Drosophila melanogaster: one gene and its partner. The protein of the gene in region 2 purifies or fractionates together with the protein of the main gene of each other region. This does not show direct contact. Each region holds a gene or a part of one and is shown on either strand. Other genes may lie near its edges.

Region 1 (5,213 bases), on a different chromosome or scaffold from region 2:
ATGTCCAGTCCCGCCTCGGGCTGTAACCAAGAGTGCACCACTTCTGCCACCGACTGGCTGGGGGTGACGACAAATAGCGAAGACTGCAGTTACACCTCTGATCTGGATCACTCTGACGGGGGCTTGAAGCACACGGCCTTTAGCGACGAAGATCCTGGAGAGCTGGACATCACCCCTACCACTATACTAAATCCACATAGCAGCCTCGACCGTAGTATGTATTACCAACCAAATTTGCATCTTCGTTCACGCTATAACATTGAACTTATAAAGTTAGCTGCACCATTTGGGATCAGCGAGATGCCAAAAAGGCGCAGCTTTCCGTGCTGGAGATCGCGTCTTGCATAATCGAACGCGTGGACTCAATGGGCGAGGCCAACGACTACATCTACATAGGCGTGGTCTTCTCTTTCCTGCTCACATTGATTCCCATCTTCTGCCGTCTCTGCGAGGTATGTTGCCGGGAAGGTTTTGGTGGAGGAGACTACTTATTACTGGTCAAATGCACTCAGGTCACACTCGGGAGCGATGCAGAGAAGGCCAGTGAGATTAGCTACTTTAACATGCCGCAGCTGCTGTGGGAGAAGTCATCGGCATCGCTCTTCACCCTGCTGGGCCTTGCCTTCGGCGACAGCCAGTGGGAGCGCATGGTATTGGCTCTGGGCTTTGTCCAACGCCTTTGCCTGACCCTCATACTGTTCATAATATTCGCCGTTGCAGAGCGCACCTTCAAGCAACGCTTCCTTTACGCCAAACTCTTCTCCCACCTAACTTCATCACGTAGGGCTCGAAAGTCAAATCTTCCCCACTTCCGTTTGAACAAGGTGCGTAACATCAAGACCTGGCTGAGCGTGAGGTCGTATTTGAAGGTAAATATAAACATCCGCGTATTTCTTGATCAAAGGCACTGAGTTGCATTCCCCATAGAAACGCGGACCCCAGCGATCGGTGGATATCATCGTTTCCGCCGCCTTCATAGTAACCCTCCTGTTGCTGGCCTTCCTCAGCGTCGAGTGGCTGAAGGATTCGGCTCATCTGCACACACACCTTACCTTGGAGGCCCTAATCTGGTCCATAACAATCGGTATCTTTCTGCTGCGCTTCATGACCCTAGGTCAGAAGATACAGCACAAGTACCGCAGTGTGTCGGTGCTGATTACGGAGCAAATTAACTTGTATCTGCAGATCGAGCAGAAGCCAAAGAAAAAGGACGAGCTGATGGTGTCGAACAGCGTGCTCAAGCTGGCCGCCGATCTGCTAAAGGAACTCGAAACGCCATTCAAGCTCTCTGGCCTTAGTGCCAATCCATATCTATTCACAACCATCAAGGTGGTAATCCTGTCGGCCCTATCGGGCGTGCTTAGCGAAGTTTTAGGCTTTAAACTGAAGCTGCATAAAATCAAGATCAAGTAACCTATGCAAGGCGCAGACCCATCATATTTTTGTAGTACAACTTTTTAGAAACGCTTTAAGAGAAATCTAACACTACACTCTAAATTAGTTAAGTGAATAAATTTAAGCGAGCCAATGTTTATGCTTGTCACGTGATTGTTTAGCTACGTTAACAAGCCCACTAACGACTACGTAAACCAACAGAAATTAGTATTTACCTACTTACCTTCTAGAGCGACCTGCACAATCACAAATCATGTTTAGGCAAATTGTGCAATGCAATGAATCGCATGAAAGTTCATAGAACTTTAAGCCTAAAATCAGTGCACCTATTGTAGTTGGCTGTTCATTCTGTTACAGTCCCAAGTTAAATTCCTAAGGCGGTCTCAGCTAGTGTTGCAATTAATAAATGTTAGTAAACTATAATAAAAATCTCGTTTAAAATAATATGCTTTGTCTATCTTACTAGTATATACCAATTGGATGTTTATAGCTGTGAAAGCAACAAATTGGTTCTACCTTTTTCTTCATTGGATAGAAAGATCTGATCTAGATGTTAATCTTTAATCTTTGTTGAAAACTATATCCTTTTTTCTTTCTGTGCAACACCCGTCTGCTCTTCGTTAATCGATAGTTGGCTCAATAGCGATCGACCAGCTGTTGCTGTTATCGTTATCAGTTCGGCCACCCACAACTGACGTAACTTTCGCCTCCACTCGCGTGGTAATTTTCGCATTTAGCTCCCTTAAAATCCCACCCCCCACAAAATGATCCGGCTTAATTGGCTATTCAGGAGCTCCTCGGTGCTGCTGCGCAGCCAGGTGCGACTGCTCCATGTGGGAGATGCCAATGTTTTGCATAGCGAGGTAGACAAGCAGTCCGCCGAGTACAAGGTGCATATAAACAGGCTGTATTTATGTTTACATACCAGCTAAAGTCCAAGCTTTTTTAGGAAAATGCCAGAGAGATGGCCAGTTTGGTTGGAGATCTGCGGAACTTCACCAGCCAGGTGCTCAAGGGAGGCGGACAAAAGGCCATCGAGCGACACACATCGCGGGGTAAACTCTTAGCCAGGGAGCGCATCAACCTGCTCCTGGATAAAGGATCGCCCTTCCTAGAACTCAGTGCTTTGGCCGGACACGAGTTATATGGCGAAGAGGTGGTCAACTCCGGGGGAATCGTCACCGGAGTGGGACGCGTTTGCGGGTAGGTCTGAAAAATCCAAGTTGATCGAAGTTCCACATCAGAACTTTTAGCGCTTGCATAGCACATTCAGTCTGCAGAAGACAAGGTTACGCGTCATTAGGGTTAATTAGGTCGTAGATTATATTTAGATTATAATTATAGATCGGCATAAATAGCCGATCCGATCTAGCCGTGCCCCCAGTCTGTCTGTTCGTATAAACGTAACGATCTCCGGAACTATTCAAGATATTTTGTGAGTCTCATAGTGAAGGTGGAAAATAAATAAATTGTGTACGAAATTTTTTAAATTATCAAAAATAATATGCAATTTTCATTACAGAACTGAGTGTTTGGTGGTGGCCAACGATGCCACTGTGAAGGGTGGAAGCTACTATCCCATTACCGTTAAGAAGCATTTGCGCGCTCAGGAGATTGCCCAAGAAAACCGCTTGCCCTGCATTTACCTTGTGGACTCGGGTGGCGCCAACCTTCCGCGCCAGGCGGATGTCTTTCCAGACAAACTGCACTTCGGACGCATCTTCTACAACCAGGCAAACATGTCGGCCCAGGGAATTCCTCAGATTGCTGTAGTTATGGGCAGCTGCACGGCCGGAGGAGCTTACGTACCGGCAATGGCCGATGAGAGCATCATTGTTAAGAAGCAGGGAACTATATTTCTTGCTGGGCCGCCGCTGGTGAAGGCGGCCACTGGAGAGGAAGTGTCTGCGGAAGATTTGGGTGGAGCAGACTTGCACTGCAAGACTTCTGGGGTCACCGACCACTATGCCTTAGACGACGAACACGCCTTGTATCTGGCCCGCCAGATTGTGAGCAACTTAAACTTGTCCGCCACTAATTCGTACAACGATCAGCTGATGCACTCCAGTCAAGTCAATTTCCAGACTGCTACTCCGCCGTCTGCCGTAGAAGAACCGCGCTACGACGCGGAAGAGCTGTACGGCATCGTAGGTCCCAATCTTACCAAAAGCTTTGACGTTCGCGAGGTGATTGCGCGCATCGTCGACGGAAGTCGCTTTACGGAGTTTAAGAAGCTATATGGTGAGACTTTGGTGTGCGGATTTGCGAAGCTATATGGCCACACAGTGGGAATAGTCGGAAACAATGGAGTCCTTTTCTCGGAGAGCGCACTCAAAGGCGCCCACTTCATTCAGTTGTGCGCACAGCGCAAGATACCGCTCGTTTTCCTGCAAAATATTACTGGTAAGTTGATATGTGGAGTGGCTGGGCGATTAAATAATGATATCGATCTATGTAGGCTTCATGGTGGGGCGCGATGCCGAGGCCAATGGTATTGCCAAAAACGGAGCTAAGATGGTAACGGCCGTGGCCTGCGCTAATGTGCCCAAGTTCACGGTGATAATCGGCGGTTCCTACGGTGCGGGCAATTACGGCATGTGCGGTCGGGCCTATTCGCCTCGTTTCCTATACATGTGGCCAAATTCGCGCATCTCAGTGATGGGCGGAACTCAGGCAGCCAATGTTATGGCTCAGATCACCGAAGATCAACGCAAGCGAGCTGGCAAGGAGTTCAGCGAGGAAGAAGCCCAAAAGCTGAAGGCTCCCATTGTGGAAATGTTTGAGGCGGAGGGTTCGCCCTACTACAGTACGGCTCGTCTGTGGGACGACGGCATCATTGATCCGGCCAACACCCGTCAGATCCTGGGCCTTAGCTTGAAAGCAGCCTTGAACAACGCCGGTCAGGAGACCAAGTTTGGAGTCTTCCGCATGTAAATCCAATTTGTATGCTGGAGAAATTTAATCGGAGCGCATTTACAGGCATTTAATGCCTTTATTTCGAAACTGTTGCATTTATTAGCGTTAAGGCAATTGTTAACTGTGTAATGTACAACTGATTGTTTATTAGGAACAGGCGTGTGAAATCGTTCAAAGCTTACGAAACAACTTTTAAGTTGCTAAAATATTTTAATTCCTGTGCAATAGAACAAATGTTTATGTCAAAAAGTTACAGCTATTTAAGAAATACGGAAAACACAAAACACACACATTTAAATGTATAATGTATAACAAAACAATTTATTTTATTAGTATTAAGGGTTGTAAGAGTAAAACCAGTAAGATTGACACAGCTGGGATCAAACAAAGCCGCCTATCTAGTGCATACCACTGTTACACTTTTAGTGGTGTTCAATATAAATATTTTCTTCTGAAAATAAATACGTTTTATTGCTAAATTTCATGCTGTCGTACATTTATAATTGTATTTTTTAAAAATAACAGTCGATATCGCTATATAGTGGACCACGGACTATCGTTCATCTCTAGCGCCTATCGATAGACCTCCATGCGGACCTGCGCTGGGCGGCCGATGCATCAGTGTACATTTTACATCCCTAGCGCTCGCTCGTTTAGCAGAAGACGGTTTTTCATAGAATTAACATTTCCTTGTTTAAAGCCAGGAATCATTTAGTTCTCCGTCGCCCCGAAGGATAACGACCAACTGATTAGGTGAGTTTATCACAGGATCCCACGATTGACCGGTTGAATGTCCACTGCATCCACAGTGTGAGTGAGTCAGTGAGTGAGTCTCTCTCCGTTTACATATATGTGTGTGTGTGTGTGCGGCTCCTCAACTTATTCGCAAAAAAGAAAAGAAG
Region 2 (6,106 bases):
GATCCCCACCGTCGAAAACGAGACTTAATGGGTAAATACGAGAAAAAGAGCAGAATCCGTAGATATTAACAAAGGATACTTGGTTGGAGCGATGCGAGTCAAGGAACGAAAGTCTGGTAGATAAGGAGATCAAAACCAGCAAAGGTGTTTATTAGCTATCGAACTTTATAATTACCTTTAATAATAAACAAATACACCAATTTTTTGTTTGGTTTTCTGTTTTGTTAAGCATTAAAAGGGATATGTTTATTTCTCCTCATTGTAAATGTGTCCCTTTTAATGTATAAATCTAAAAAAAAAAAATGAAAAGAACACCTTAAACTAACTCCCACAACACTACACAGAAACGGACGTAGGCAGAAAGAAACACACTCATAATCTATAAGAAGCGTTAAGTTGCACGTTTACAGTACCATATAATTGTATTTATATAGTATATAAATGATGTATTACGTATTGAAGCCGAGCAACACTTACTATACTAACCGAAAAAAATCAAAATGATGGACACTTAGATACGATACTAGGAAAAACTAATCGAAACGAATCGGCTGATTGTAAGAATTAGGGCAAGAAACCAAATTGCATCTTTAGTACTCAGTACTCGCCTCTGAAACTGTTTCCATAATCATATTTCAACGGCATGAACCGATTTAATGGGATGCTAATTAAAACAAAACAGTATAAACTCAAGAGCAGAATGGACTAAAGCAACACGAGCATAAAGAAAACTTGATTATGGTCATAAGTACATATATTTTAAATGATTAGTGTTTTGTATTAAGTGAAATTTGTTAAACATTTATTACATTTTTATGTTCTAAGTTGCGAAATAAATGCGAAGAGAAAGCAAAGCGCGCAATGTCATTCATGCCTTCTCTCAGTTTCCATTTCCGTTTCCGTTTACCGACAGCAATCAACTCAAAGTCTAACTTTTATGCCGCGAGATTTTGTACGGAACTCAATTTTAAATTATGTATTCACAAAGATGTATTACATTTGGGAAATTAATGTTCGTTACATCCATTAAATTCAGCGAAAATGAAACAAATAAATCACTTTTTAAAACCATTACTTTTGGCTTCCTTACTTACCCACAAAAACAATTCATGGCTAACAGTTTTAGACGTTTAATGGGTTAAAGATAAGAAAATTCCATTAGATGGACACTTTTTTACTTAACGATAATAAATGCACTTCGTGATCCCTGAACCAAAAGCAGGCTAGTTAATATTTAAAATATAATTTTGTTTGTAAATGCAACAACTCTCTGGTACGTTTCGAAACATATTCCGTTACTTTTCTACTTCCTCGTCGACGAATGTAATCACGGCCGCTCCCTTAGCAACGTTATCGCCCGCGGCTCCTCCAATAGACTTAATGGTGGCGTCCTTTGGAGCTTTTAGAATGTGTTCCATTTTCATGGCTAAAATGCAAAACTGTTTTTAAAACTATGTATAATCTAAATTTATATTTTTTTTACCAATAAGCACTGCCAAGTTTTCGCCCTTCTTGACCTTGTCACCGGGCTTTACCAGCACCTTCTCTAAAATCCCGGGCATGGGAGCCACTATGCGAGACCCAACTGCACCCAATTGATCGCCCTGGGCACTTAAGAATTTCGGCTGTCCCACCTCAAAATCGACCTTGCCACTCTGGAAAAGGGAATCAATTAAATACAAAATACAAAATGTTATCAATTGAAAAGTAGATTCTTACTTCCGAAAACAAAGAGACACTAGTGCCATCAATACTAGCATTATATGTGGTGACGTTGCTATTGATATTGGCACGAATTTTTAGACGACTTCCATCCTGAACTCTTTCGACCTTTGCATCCTGCCAGTCGCCATTATCCACCTGAATTTGCATATCCTCGCCATCAAACTTGACAGCCACAGAATAGACTGAAAGATTAAATAAGCTTACCAATTTGATTTTAAATTTATATATGTGGTTTACCCTTCTCATTGGCTTTCAAGTCATATCTGCGAACCAAAGAGTAATTCAGACGAGCGTTAGGGGTGGCAACAAATGGATCCTGATCTTTGTTTCCGTTCCTAAAGGCTGCCTGCAACTCGTTTAAGACTAGCGCCAAAGCAGCTTGGCTGACTTGCTGCGGACTGATGATAATTGGCGGAAATAGAGTATCGAACTGCTCATCGATAAAGCCAGTGTGCACATTGGCCAGCTGAAACTCAGGATGCGACGCAAGGTCGATGAGGAAATTAATGTTAGTGTCCAGACCAGATATCTAAAATTGGTTTACCTTTAGGGAAATGTCTTAAAGGTACAAATTTTTAATGTTCTCACATGATATTCACCCAGGCGGGCAACCAATGAGTTAAGCGCTTGTGTGCGGTTTTCGCCCCAAACGACTAGCTTGGCAATCATGGGGTCGTAGTGCACAGACACCTCATCTCCTTCTCGGACACCCGTCTCCACGCGAACGTTGTTTGATGGTTGGGGAGTAGACAAATATCGCAGGGGTCCGGCTCCGGGCAGAAAGCCTCCGCGAGGATTTTCTGCATAAATGCGAGCTTCAAATGCGTGGCCACGCCGCGTAATCTCAGATTGCTTCAGGGGTAATGGCTCACCGGCGGCAATGCGAATCTGCCATTCAACCAAATCGGTGCCCGTAATCATTTCCGTTATAGGATGCTCCACCTGCAGGCGGGTATTCATTTCCATGAAGTGGAAAGAGAGATCTTCTTTGTCTAGAATGAACTCCACGGTGCCAGCTCCTACGTAGCCCACAGCTTTCGCTGCACGAACAGCAGCCTCGCCCAGCTCACGACGCAAATCTTCCGACAAACCTGGCTGTTGTATAAATGAGCATTATTTTTAAAATAGCCGAAGCTCTTGTGCACTTACAGCTGGCGCCTCTTCAATAATCTTTTGATGACGTCTTTGCACGGAGCAATCTCTTTCCCACAGATAGACAGCATCACCATACTGATCCGCAAATACTTGAACCTCTACGTGGCGTGGAGATCGGACGTACCGCTCCAGAAGCACAGAGCTGTCGCCAAACGACTTCTCGGACTCGGTGCGAGCTGAGTTCAGAGCGGTGAGGAAGTCGTCCGGTTTTTCTGCGATTCTCATGCCTTTGCCTCCGCCGCCGCGGACGGCTTTAATCATCAAGGGAAAGCCAATTTTGTCGGCTTCTCGCTGCAAACACTCATCTGACTGATCATCGCCATGGTATCCATTGATGATCGGCACCCCAGCAGCGGCCATTATGGCCTTGCTGGTGCTCTTAATCCCCATGTCCCGGATGGCGGAACTGGGCGGACCCATGAAGATGATGCCCTCACGCTGGCACAACTCGGCAAACTCGACGGACTCGGAGAGGAAGCCGTAGCCTGGGTGGATGGCCTGGGCGCCCGAACGCTTGGCTATGTCCAGGATGCGTTCACCGCGAAGATAGGAAGCCGAGGAGGCAGCTTCCCCCACGCGGTACGACTCGTCTGCCAACTGCGTGTGCATGCTCTTCTCGTCCGGATCCGAGAACACGGCCACGGTACGAACTCCCAGCTTGCGTGCGGTTCGAATCACCCTGCATGCGATCTCACCACGATTTGAAATAAGGATCTTGCTGATAGGCCGAACTTTTGGGCTGGCTTCTGTTGCAAAGCACCTGCGTCAAGCCAAAACAAATTAGCAAGGTTTATGTAATCGTCAAGAACGAAATTAAGTCTTTTGATTTAGCGGCCTTAACAAAGAACTGCCGATCATTTCCCTCACCTGGCGTTTGCGCCGAAGTTTCGCAGCAGTCTGGCGTACATTATTAGTAGAATTAATTGTAAGAATAAATAACAAATATACTTTATTCAGAGCAAGTGTGCGATCGTCGCTTATCACAGCTGGAAAAACGCACACGCACAAGATCGCAATTGAGATGGGCGACTCACGAGATGCATGGTTGAAAATATTAATGTTTCATATATCTTTTGGGGATTATCATATATCATCAATATCTTTTAGGGAAATTGATATTACGTATATTGTGTTTTTTTTAAGTTGCAACCCATAAAAAATATTACCGTTATATTATTCTGGACTATTTATCGAACTGTTGACATCCATCCGACCGCGTCCTTACGGTTTTCTGCGCTCGTGAAGTTCGGTAACATTGTTCGCAGAAACTCGATAACCGATAGTTTAACGTCGAAGAGCGATAGGCCCCAAAATATGCGCGTGAAAATAGATTGTGCGCTATAAAATAAACGGATTTAGGTAGTTGGTGTTGAGGAAGCCAGCCACAAACATAGTAGAAATTGTCGGAAAAGTGTCGCCCGCCGACAGCTTGTATAATTGCGTCGGAAGTCAACGCGCGTATCGCTGGAAAACCGTTTGCATCGAAAGCCCCTCCGGAAAGGCGTGAAAAGTTGGGCGCCTTTTGCGCTTGTCGCTTGGCGTTGTAAAATTTATCAGTTGCTCCGCGGTTGTTTTTATTGTGAACTGTTAAACGTGCACTTCGAAGGACTGCCATTTAAACTTAAGGACATTCAAGAGCAAAAGGAAAACACCAAACATGCCCATTTGCAAGCGGGAAGGATTCGACCTGAATCAGAAGGAGGGCAAGAACGAAACATTCCACGACAACGACCAGGTCTTCTGCTGCTACATCACTAAGCGCATTTTTCGCGACTATGAGTAAGTGCATCCTGCTACCATTCCTGCAACTGCCCCTTCCCTTCTCCTGCCATTAGGTGGACGCTGCGCTAAAGTATACAACAAAAGCGACGCTGCAAAAGCATTTGCACACGATGTACCGTACATCACCATTCAGTGTGTGTGTGTGTGTGTTCGCAGGGGTGCATAAGTGTGCGAGTCTCGTGGGCCAAAGGCGAAAAAAACGCTGTTCGGTGGCGGGAAGAAATTACAGCTGCCGCCGCACAGCTGCTCGCCGCGGAGTTGCCACCTGGTGCCAAAGCGCGCGCTCTTGAATTTGGAATTTGTTGACCCAATTCGACTTATATGATCCTTCTAGATATTTTTAAGATCAGCAATTATTTAAGAGGCTGGGTAGCGCGAAACTATTTTAATAAATAGCAAACATACTAAATATGTTTTACTCTGACAAGCTTCAATTATATCAAAATAAATTGACCTTAAAACGCTGATCGATTAAATTTATTTATCCAGACACTACTTCCGGCACGTGATGGTGATCAACTCAACGGTGTGGCAGTGCGAGGCCACCGGCAAGGAGAACCTCACCTACGAGGAGGCGGTCAAAAGTGAGCGGGCGGCTCGCAAGAAGATGGAGCAGTTCAAACAGAGCCTTCGGGCACCCGTCCTTCTGGTTGTGGAGCACGCCCAACAGTCGGCGGTCAACACCTTGAACATGATAGTGGCCAAGTTTCTGCGCAAGCGCTACTTTATCGGCGAGGAGGTGTCGGTGCAAGCTAAGAAGAACGCCACGTACACGGTGTTGGGTGTCAAGTTGGACAAAAATATGCCGGAACCACTCAATGGTATCTATGAGGACACGGACAACCTGGTCTACAGACTACGACCAAACAAGGGCGATCCCAGTGCAGAGCTTGATCTGCCCTTTAGGCAATTACGTCGCTCGCGCATGGAGTTTAACCTGGAAAACCTGAGTATGTTTATAAAGAGCAATGTATCGCGGGTGGATGGACTTCTTCGACCCAAGCCAGAGGCATACAAGCAGTACGTGACGGACCCTGGCGTAAACTTCTCCACAATTTTCATTGGCAAAATGCCACGTTATTCTCCCGCTAAGATTAAAAAACCTGACGGCAAGAAGCAATCCACTCTCAACAAATATATTGTCGCCGGTGAAGCAACGGCTGCAAAGTCAAAGGCGAAGGCCAAGTCTGATGCTAAATCTCTGGCAGAGGAATTGGAGCGGGTTAAGCGAGAAAAAGAGGCCAAGCTTATTGAGTTGGAAAAACAAAAGGCGGAAAAGAAGGCACAGTTGATTGAACGCGTTGAAAACGAATGTAATTTACTGCTTCAAAAGACGGACGACCTGGAGAGAACCGACCAAAAAGTCCTGCCCCGCTACAGACAGATCGTCACATTGCTGCCTGAGCACCTCCTGGGTGATGCCTTCATGATGCGCGAGTTTATG

The links.
Region 1: the proteins of Mccc1 (region 2) and Mccc2 purify together in Drosophila melanogaster (affinity purification with mass spectrometry, with the first as the bait; one large-scale study listed by BioGRID). This does not show direct contact.

Annotation. Positions count from the first base shown.
Region 1 is NT_033778.4:6,744,326-6,749,538, forward strand, and holds Mccc2 (Methylcrotonoyl-CoA carboxylase 2), read left to right. Parts: upstream 1-2,055; 5' UTR 2,056-2,159; coding exon 2,160-2,285; intron 2,286-2,344; coding exon 2,345-2,598; intron 2,599-2,917; coding exon 2,918-3,798; intron 3,799-3,853; coding exon 3,854-4,329; 3' UTR 4,330-4,629; downstream 4,630-5,213. Other genes in the region: phtf, read left to right, coding at 1-214, 274-452, 513-869, 928-1,413. UniProt on the Drosophila melanogaster protein: Carboxyltransferase subunit of the 3-methylcrotonyl-CoA carboxylase, an enzyme that catalyzes the conversion of 3-methylcrotonyl-CoA to 3-methylglutaconyl-CoA, a critical step for leucine and isovaleric acid catabolism. Vital for adult survival.
Region 2 is NT_033777.3:31,789,831-31,795,936, forward strand, and holds Mccc1 (Methylcrotonoyl-CoA carboxylase 1), read right to left. Parts: upstream 4,078-6,106; 5' UTR 3,789-4,077; coding exon 3,748-3,788; intron 3,641-3,747; coding exon 2,875-3,640; intron 2,821-2,874; coding exon 2,314-2,820; intron 2,255-2,313; coding exon 1,963-2,254; intron 1,908-1,962; coding exon 1,720-1,907; intron 1,656-1,719; coding exon 1,484-1,655; intron 1,427-1,483; coding exon 1,296-1,426; 3' UTR 762-1,295; downstream 1-761. Other genes in the region: Acf (ATP-dependent chromatin assembly factor large subunit), read left to right, coding at 4,538-4,659, 5,152-6,106.